Neurospora crassa OR74A: one gene and its partner. The protein of the gene in region 1 interacts with the protein of each later gene in a pairwise test. Links are inferred from orthologs where the notes say so. Each region holds a gene or a part of one and is shown in the gene's direction. Other genes may lie near its edges.

Region 1 (4,089 bases):
GCGATGATGCCGCGGGCAGAAGCGGTGGATGGGGACGACAGCCCATTGGCAGCCGTCACCGGAAAAGAGGTGGACATGCTGCACACTGGCAGCTCGGTTGCAACCGCTGGTGGGGCAGAGAGTGGCTATAGTAGTTCGATGGAGGACGTCTCATCCTCGTGAGACCTGAGTGGGTATTTTTCCTATGTGAGAAGAAGACGCGGGGAGCATACGAGAGCAAAAGGAACGCATTGCGGCTGGTGTCAGGAAATCAGGTACCGGTGTTCTCGAATTTTTGGCTTTGGCGGGCAAGCGGGTTGTTTCGAGCGCGCGGGTTCTTGGCTTTTGCCATTTTCAGGGGAGTTGCAATTGTCGCTTTTCGGGGACTCGATACGCATGATGGATATCCAACGAAGGTGATTGCCGGGTGAGGGATCTGGATCCCATGAATGGGGCGGCCATGGGTGGTGGGTGGTGGGTGGAGGGAGGGGGTGTTGAGTTGGGGACTTTTTGGGGCGTCTGGGTTAGTGTTGTTTGGATTTCAAACGGTGTGGCTTTTGGGTTTTTTTCTCTGGCTATTTTTTTATGGGGGGTTTTATCTTTCTTCTTCATCTTTTTATTTCTGATATTTTTTTCTTGGCTTCCTTGTAGATGACTCCGTGTGCAGAAAAAAACATACCTGTTTTTTTAAATTCGTATCAACGATTCGCAGTAGTAGCAGAAGGCCGGTGACATCAGTCGCAACGGGTGCACCCGTAAAATAAGGATTGGACTTGGTGGTAGGTCTGATGGGGCATGTAGTGTATATAGGATTTCAAAGTGAATCGATCACTAGTCCCGGTTCGTTGTCTCCACGATGGCCTCGCTGCCGGAACGTTTTGATGATCGAGCGGTAATCGTGGATCCCTAGGTCGGGCGTAAGACCCTCAGCGCATTATCAGCAAGCCCCTGATTAATCCAACGCTGGGCGGGCTACACAGACAGTATCAGGGTCGTCATCACAGTCCAACGGTCGGTTGTTTGTTAGCATGGGTCTTCTGATGAAGCCATCGCCAGCAGTACCATAGCACACAAAAAGACATGTACAAATATCTCAATCCAGGAAAAGACACGTCAAAAAACGAGGGCTTCACATGATCGTTTTGATTCCAAGCCTTCCCGATCCAGTGAAGCACATATGCTTGGATTCACCCGCCCAGAAACTCCCTTGACTCAAGGTCTCTCACTACCTAACAAAACTTTCCAGAGGTGAATTGTACTGTACGCGGGCAGGGGCCTGCCCCACCTTAATGAAATCGATTCGACCGGACTCCTGGCTGCAGGCGGGGGAGCGAGCTCAGCGAGGTGCGGGCGGGCAAGTCAGCCCTTGGGGTTCCATCCATGACCATATCGCACCTACCTCTACCTACGGCCCTACCTACCTACGTAAACAACGAGCTCGGCGCCAACCGAGGCACGCAAGTGGAAGCTCCCCGCCTTGATCGGTCTTTTCCTTTCCCCCTTACAACCCGACATGTAAGGTCCATACTCAGAATGGCAACCAAAGGAAAAGAAGTAGAAACTGCGGGTCGGTAAGTCAGTCCCAGTTGAACTACCTACTTACCTTACCTTACCTTACCCTACCTTGGCCAAGCATCAGAGCTTATGTTGGTGGTGACAGGACAAAGCAACGTCTTGCCCCTCTTGAACGACGAGTCTCATGTCATCACCCCTAACTTCAACAGTCGGACATGGCTCGAAGTATTCCTCATTGCTAGCATAGCCTAGCCTAGCCTAGCCTACCTATAGAAACACAAAACAAGCTGACCTGCTGCTCCCGCGTTCCGCCAAACCTACAGTGATGCCACGCCCGCGAACCCCCGAGGTATCCCCCAGGCGCCCTTCGTCGACAAGGTCGAGGACTATGTCACGTCTCGCGCGGATGTCGAACCCACCCTGAGGCGGTTCCAAGAGTTGATTGCCAAGTACCAATTCATGGAGCAGAACCTCCAGCGACGGGTGGTGGGCTTGAAGGATAAGATGCCGGATATCCAGAAGACGCTGGACACGGTGCGGTTCCTGCAGATGAGAAAGGTACGACACACACACACGCACACACGCACACACACCTCCGTCTTCAGGGCACGCGAACATACGGGCTATACAGCTAGCTATACAGCGGGCACAATACCAAATGCGCCCGGGGCGGGGGGAAAGGGTAATTGAGAACCAAAGGTCAAGGACGAGCATGAACAACAAGGACGTGGATTGATGTATGGATGGATGGACGAAGATACGGTCGCACACGAACAAGACACGCTGACAAGATCACCTTTTTACTTTGTCTGTTTTACAGGACGAATCAGACCCGATCGAAACCACATTCGAGCTCAACGAGACTCTCTACGCCCAGGCCAAGATCCCACCCACGGACGAGGTGTACATCTGGCTCGGCGCCAACGTCATGCTGTCGTATCCCATTGAGGAGGCCGAGCAGCTGCTTGACTCGAAGCTCAAGGCGGCGACGCAGAGCTTGCAGAACTGCGAGGAGGATCTGGATTTCTTGAGAGAACAGATTACGGTACGTGTTGGGCGGAGAACGCGAAGATGGTAGTTCTGTTACCGATCTTGGAACCTTGACTGACCTGAACGATGCGCCATAGACGATGGAAGTTGCGGTTGCCAGAGTGTACAACTGGGACGTCGTGCAGAAGAGGAAAGAGAAGGAGGAGGAGGAGAAGACAAAAGGAAAGAAGAGCGAGACGGCGTCGGACGGTTGAAGAGGAGATTAGGTCTAATACAGAAAGCGAGGAGATAATGCACCATCACGAAATGCCATGGGAGCGAACGACGGTTGAAGAATGTCTAATAGAGGGAGGCCGGCCGAGGTTGCTGCTGGCCGCGATCATGTGAGACGAGGTTCACGATGGCTTGGTAAGTTGGACTTGATTTGAAAGCAACATGATAGCGAACGATACCTCACAGATATTCTGCGTCGTATTACGCTCAGTAGCCATTTGTTCACGAGACAAAGGAACAAGGGCCACGCAAGCGGTTTGTCGTTTTGGAGAGACTGAAGTGGGACTGGCGAGATGAGGTTCGCTCTGGCCTAGGTCAAGGCTACGACCTCGAGAGATTAAAGAGAATTTGAGTTTGGCGGCCTCCAACGCCCATAGCCTCATGATCAAGGCACGATGATGACTTTTTATATTTCCCGCCCGGGTTCTTGGTTGTGATGGAAGTTACTGTCTATCACTTGGCTACAAGAGAGATCGACGCTATGGCTCATTGTTTAGATTGTCACGATACCTACCGCAAACATACACCGAGATAGCCTTACAACGTTACCAAAAGCCAATCCGAGGAGATCACGTGGCTGAGGGGGCGAGTTTGTCTGGTTGAGTTGTAGTGTAGTCGCGGATCGATCGTCGCCATCGTTTATCAAGTGGTGTACATACCCAAGTCTTATCCAGTCGAGACAGTCAGATGGGCGGGGGGCCAATGCGCATGTAGGCAGGGCGCTCGGGCGGCCGTTGACCTGTCTGTTTCGCTGTCAGTGTTTTGTCAAAAGTGAGCCACCCCCGCCCCCCTGGAAACTGAAACCCCTATTTCGGGAGTGAGGAAGCACATCTGTGGTCTTGACCGCCATGACGACGGCATTCGTTTCGGAGACGGGGTCCCGAGTCTTTTGACTCTGTCTCTGTTTGGTACGGCGGCAGGCGAACGGCAGACCAGGCCCGACCTGAATACTGGATGAGGTGCCCTGCGCCAACAGCAGAAAGCAGCTTAGCGGATGGGGCCCCAACGTCGGGTCCCAAGCGGGCAGGCGGCCCCCAGGGGCAGGCGGAATCTCAGGGGCCCCGGCCCTCTGCAACGGAACCCCAATTAAACGATCTCCATCACGGGCGGGCTCCGGCCTCCTTCCCCTTCCTGCCTGCCTGCCTGCCTTGACTCTGTAGACTCAACTGTGTACCCTTTCCCCTTCGGATCAACCCTTTTTGCCACGACTCAGCTGCGTTATCCATCTCCTATAACGCTACCTTACTTTCCAAGTTTGTACACATCATTGTCGTCTCTTCATTGTCTCCTGCCTCAGCTTCATAATACCCAACCCCAACCCCCCCGCTTCAG
Region 2 (3,542 bases), about 2.3 Mb from region 1:
CACGCGGCGCTGGAAGCGGCGACGGATAGCAGCATCCAGCTGCCAGGGGATGTTGGTGGCGCCCAGGATCAGCACGCCCTTGCTGTCTTTGCCGACACCGTCCATTTGGACCAAAAGTTCGGTTTTTATCCTGCGCGAGGCTTCCGACTCGCCTTCACCGCGCGGACCGCAGAGGGCGTCGATCTCGTCGATGAAGATAATGGAGGGCTTGTTTTCTCGGGCCATGGCGAAGAGTTGCTTTACTAGACTGTTTTTTGTTGGAAAATCGTTAGCTTCTCAGTCACGATAGTGGCATAAGGACAGAGACAACAGGACAAAACATACCGTTCACTCTCACCCATCCACTTGCTCACCAAATCCGAGCTGCTCACGCTGAAGAACGTGCTCTTCGCCTCTGTCGCCACTGCCTTGGCCAAATAACTCTTTCCTGTTCCCGGTGGGCCATACAGCAAAATACCCTTCCACGGCTGCCTCTTCCCCTGGAACAGATGCGGGAACTTGATTGGCAACAAGACCGCCTCCTTGAGGGCCTCCTTGGCACCCTCTAGACCAGCCACATCATCCCAGCTGATGTTCGGCCGTTCCTGCAGAATCGCGCCCGCCAACGCACTTCTCAGCTTCTTGCTATCCTCATCCAACGCTTCTCCATTGCCATTACCGTCCTCCCCGGCCTCCTTCCCCTTCCCCGTCCCGCCCGTCGAACCCCCGTTCGCGCCCACCATCCCGGGCTTCTTCCGCTTCGCTTCCGCGTCCGCCAGGTGCGCTTTGAGCTTCTCGGCCCGGTCCATGTACTCGCCCGTCTTGGCCCGGATCATCTCCTTGGATTTCGGGTTCTTCTCCCATTTTAGGGCGAGCATGAAGAGTTCGAGCGATTGGTAGTACAGCTGGTAGGCTTTGTCGTACTGGGCGGCGTTGTCGGCTTCGATGGCTTTGCGCACTTGCTCGATGGCGCGGCCGAGGAAGTCGGTATTGGACATTTTGTGCGGCGGCGGCTCGAAGCGTGTAAAGTGATGTCGCGTGAATTCGTGGTTTAGTCGAGTGTAGGATTGGTCGCTCTTCTTGGTACGCCGTAGTAAGCGTTTGTAGTCGTTATACTTGTTTGCTTCTTCGCTCGGACAAGGAGAGTTTGTTGATATTCGCGCGCCGAGGTTCGAAGTCAATGTCAACAGATGGCCATATGCGAGGGAGGAGACCCGTTGATGACGACTGCTGTTGTCCTAGGCTACGGCAACGAGAGTGGCAGAGATAAGGTGAAGAGAAATCGGGAATTGGTCGTATCTTGCGGGCGTCACCTGGCAACGACTACGGCAAGACTGTCTTCTGGCACAAAAAAGTTGGTGTCGCGCCCTGGTCTGAGGTGGAATTGGAGAGGGGAAGATCGTTGGTGGTCTTGTCCATATCTTGGTTAGTTTCAAGCAACGAGGTCGACTTGTCTTGGCCGTTGACCTGGAAGCGCTAGCGTAGCGCGGGGTCCTGTTATGGTTCCCGGCCTGGGGGCCACTGACGCCACTTGTTTGCGCGTGGAGAGAGCGCTGGTCTGGGGCTGTTAGTACTTTGCTTGAGGATACACTCCTGCACTAACAGCTAAAGCTTGGGCACTGACTTTGGGATCTGCTCAGCTCACCCCTGACGATTGACTGCACAGCGAGCTCAGTTCCCCGGAATAGAAACCTCCAAATTCCCCATACTGGAGCTCATCTGTGTTTCTTGTTCCTGCATTTTGATCCATCATCTTCCCTCCCTCACTGTGTCCAAACCCTTTTTCAGTTTTCGAACGTCATCGCCTAGTAACTTTTCAGCATAACCCTGTCTCTCACTTCACATCACCCTCAAAGAAGCAGCCATGGCCAGCCCCCTCCAACTAAAGCTCCAAGCTCTCTCTGATGAGTATCAAAACCTGAACAAAGGTGAGCCCCCCTTATGATGATATCCCCGTAGTTCATTCACTAACTGTACCTCAGAACTCCAAGAGACTGTTCTCGCCAGACAGAAGCTCGAGGCTCAGAAGCAGGAAAACGTCAGCGTGCAAAATGTCAGCTTTTCTCCAAGCATCGCGCTCGCATGCCCAATGCCTTTCGCCAAATTCTGCCCAAGGAAAAAATGGGGACTAACTGAGCACCATGTAGGAGTTCGAGAAGCTCAAGGATGACGAGCAGATCTTCAAGCTAGTGGGCCCGGTGCTGCTCAAGCAGGACAAGATGGATGCAGAGAACACAGTCAAGGGTAGACTGGAGTTCATCAGCAAGGAGATGTAAGTTGAACTGCTGCATGGGATCTTGAGTTACAACGCAACTGACCCACTGTCACAGCACTCGCTTGGAGGGAGTCATCAAGGAGACACAGGGCAAGATTGAGAAGAAGAGGACAGAGATCATTCAGGTCCAGACGAGCGCCCAGGCTGGTGGTGCCCCTCAGGCCGTCAAGGCTTAGACCTAATGAAATCAGTTACGGAAAGAATGTCCACTATACCCAATCGAGATCAGGCGCAGGTACGATTCATCACACAGCGCTCCGGGGAAACTGTCTCGTGAATGCAGTCATAGGTCGATTTCTTTACCAAACGGTAATTATTACGTGATGTATTCATTGAAGATTCCCCCAAGATACCCCTTGACGCCTTGCTCTAAAATCGCTGAATGGGGATAACCAAAACACAACTTACACCCCCCTTCTCCCTGACCCTTACTCATCCACCCACCGACAGACCGCAGCTTCTCATCCTGTCTAGTATAACCTCAGTTCAGCGCCATAATTGTGAACCCCCACGGCAGCCCCATATTCTTGCAACTTCGGCCACTAACCCATGCCACACTATCACTCGACAAATCCTCGCCCGCCGCATTCAGCGAGAGCAGACTACTCCCGCCCTGCTGGGACGCCCGATCCGGATCCTCCACCATTGCCACCACAAAGCTGACCAGCTCGTCTTTGGTATAACAATGGCTCAGCAAGGACGTCGCGCCGATACGATCCAGCATCGTTCTGCGCTGTTCGCTCTCGGCAAAGAGCTGGAGCTCCCTGGAGAGGAGACTGGTCGTCAAGTCTCCTGACCCAGAGTTTGCGAAAGCTGCAGAAGAAGAAGAACAAGCACGCAAGAGCCGCTCAAAAACCATGGCCATCCCCGCAACAGCTTGGACGAACAGCGTCACCTTGTCGTGGTCGTCTAGCCCAGCCTCGATGCGGAATTCCTTTTCGGTCACGAAGGCGAGGCAGGAGGTGTCGAAGATGGAGTTGAGGATACGGTCGAGGCTGGAGGGCTGGGAGAGGAGGGCATGACTGCCATCCGGGAGGGCGTAGGTGTTGGTGAATTGGACGAGGATCTGTTTGAGTAGGGTGGAGAGGCAGGTCTCAGGGGGGACAAGGAGACGGCCCTGTTCGAATAATAGGTTGTCGGCTGCTGCTTCGATGCTGGCTGTTTATGTAGGAAGATGGGGTGTTAGTTTGGGCGTGACGGACGTGAGGGCTGTGAGAGGAGGAGGAAAGGGCTGGGTGGAGGAGTTGTGGTGGACTTGCCTTGCATTGGGCTTATGGAGGAGACTGTT

The links.
Region 2: the proteins of NCU02264 (region 1) and NCU06941 interact in binary tests that used the Saccharomyces cerevisiae proteins (3 or more experiments, as listed by UniProt). The link is inferred for Neurospora crassa OR74A from reciprocal best matches to the Saccharomyces cerevisiae genes PAC10 and YKE2.

The regions. Positions count from the first base shown.
Region 1 is NC_026507.1:3,136,001-3,140,089, forward strand, and holds NCU02264 (prefoldin subunit 3), read left to right. Parts: upstream 1-1,332; 5' UTR 1,333-1,359; coding exon 1,360-1,550; intron 1,551-1,817; coding exon 1,818-2,052; coding exon of another isoform or gene 2,053-2,184; exon of another isoform or gene 2,185-2,231; intron 2,232-2,314; coding exon 2,315-2,539; intron 2,540-2,621; coding exon 2,622-2,738; 3' UTR 2,739-3,322; downstream 3,323-4,089. Other genes in the region: period clock protein FRQ, read left to right, coding at 1-162. UniProt on the Saccharomyces cerevisiae protein: Binds specifically to cytosolic chaperonin (c-CPN) and transfers target proteins to it. Binds to nascent polypeptide chain and promotes folding in an environment in which there are many competing pathways for nonnative proteins.
Region 2 is NC_026507.1:844,140-847,681, reverse strand, and holds NCU06941 (prefoldin subunit 6), read left to right. Parts: upstream 1-1,644; 5' UTR 1,645-1,843; coding exon 1,844-1,907; intron 1,908-1,961; coding exon 1,962-2,032; intron 2,033-2,126; coding exon 2,127-2,251; intron 2,252-2,309; coding exon 2,310-2,430; 3' UTR 2,431-2,735; downstream 2,736-3,542. Other genes in the region: NCU06942 (vacuolar protein sorting-associated protein VPS4), read right to left, coding at 1-247, 325-977; NCU06940 (hypothetical protein), read right to left, coding at 2,736-3,412, 3,514-3,542. UniProt on the Saccharomyces cerevisiae protein: Binds specifically to cytosolic chaperonin (c-CPN) and transfers target proteins to it. Binds to nascent polypeptide chain and promotes folding in an environment in which there are many competing pathways for nonnative proteins.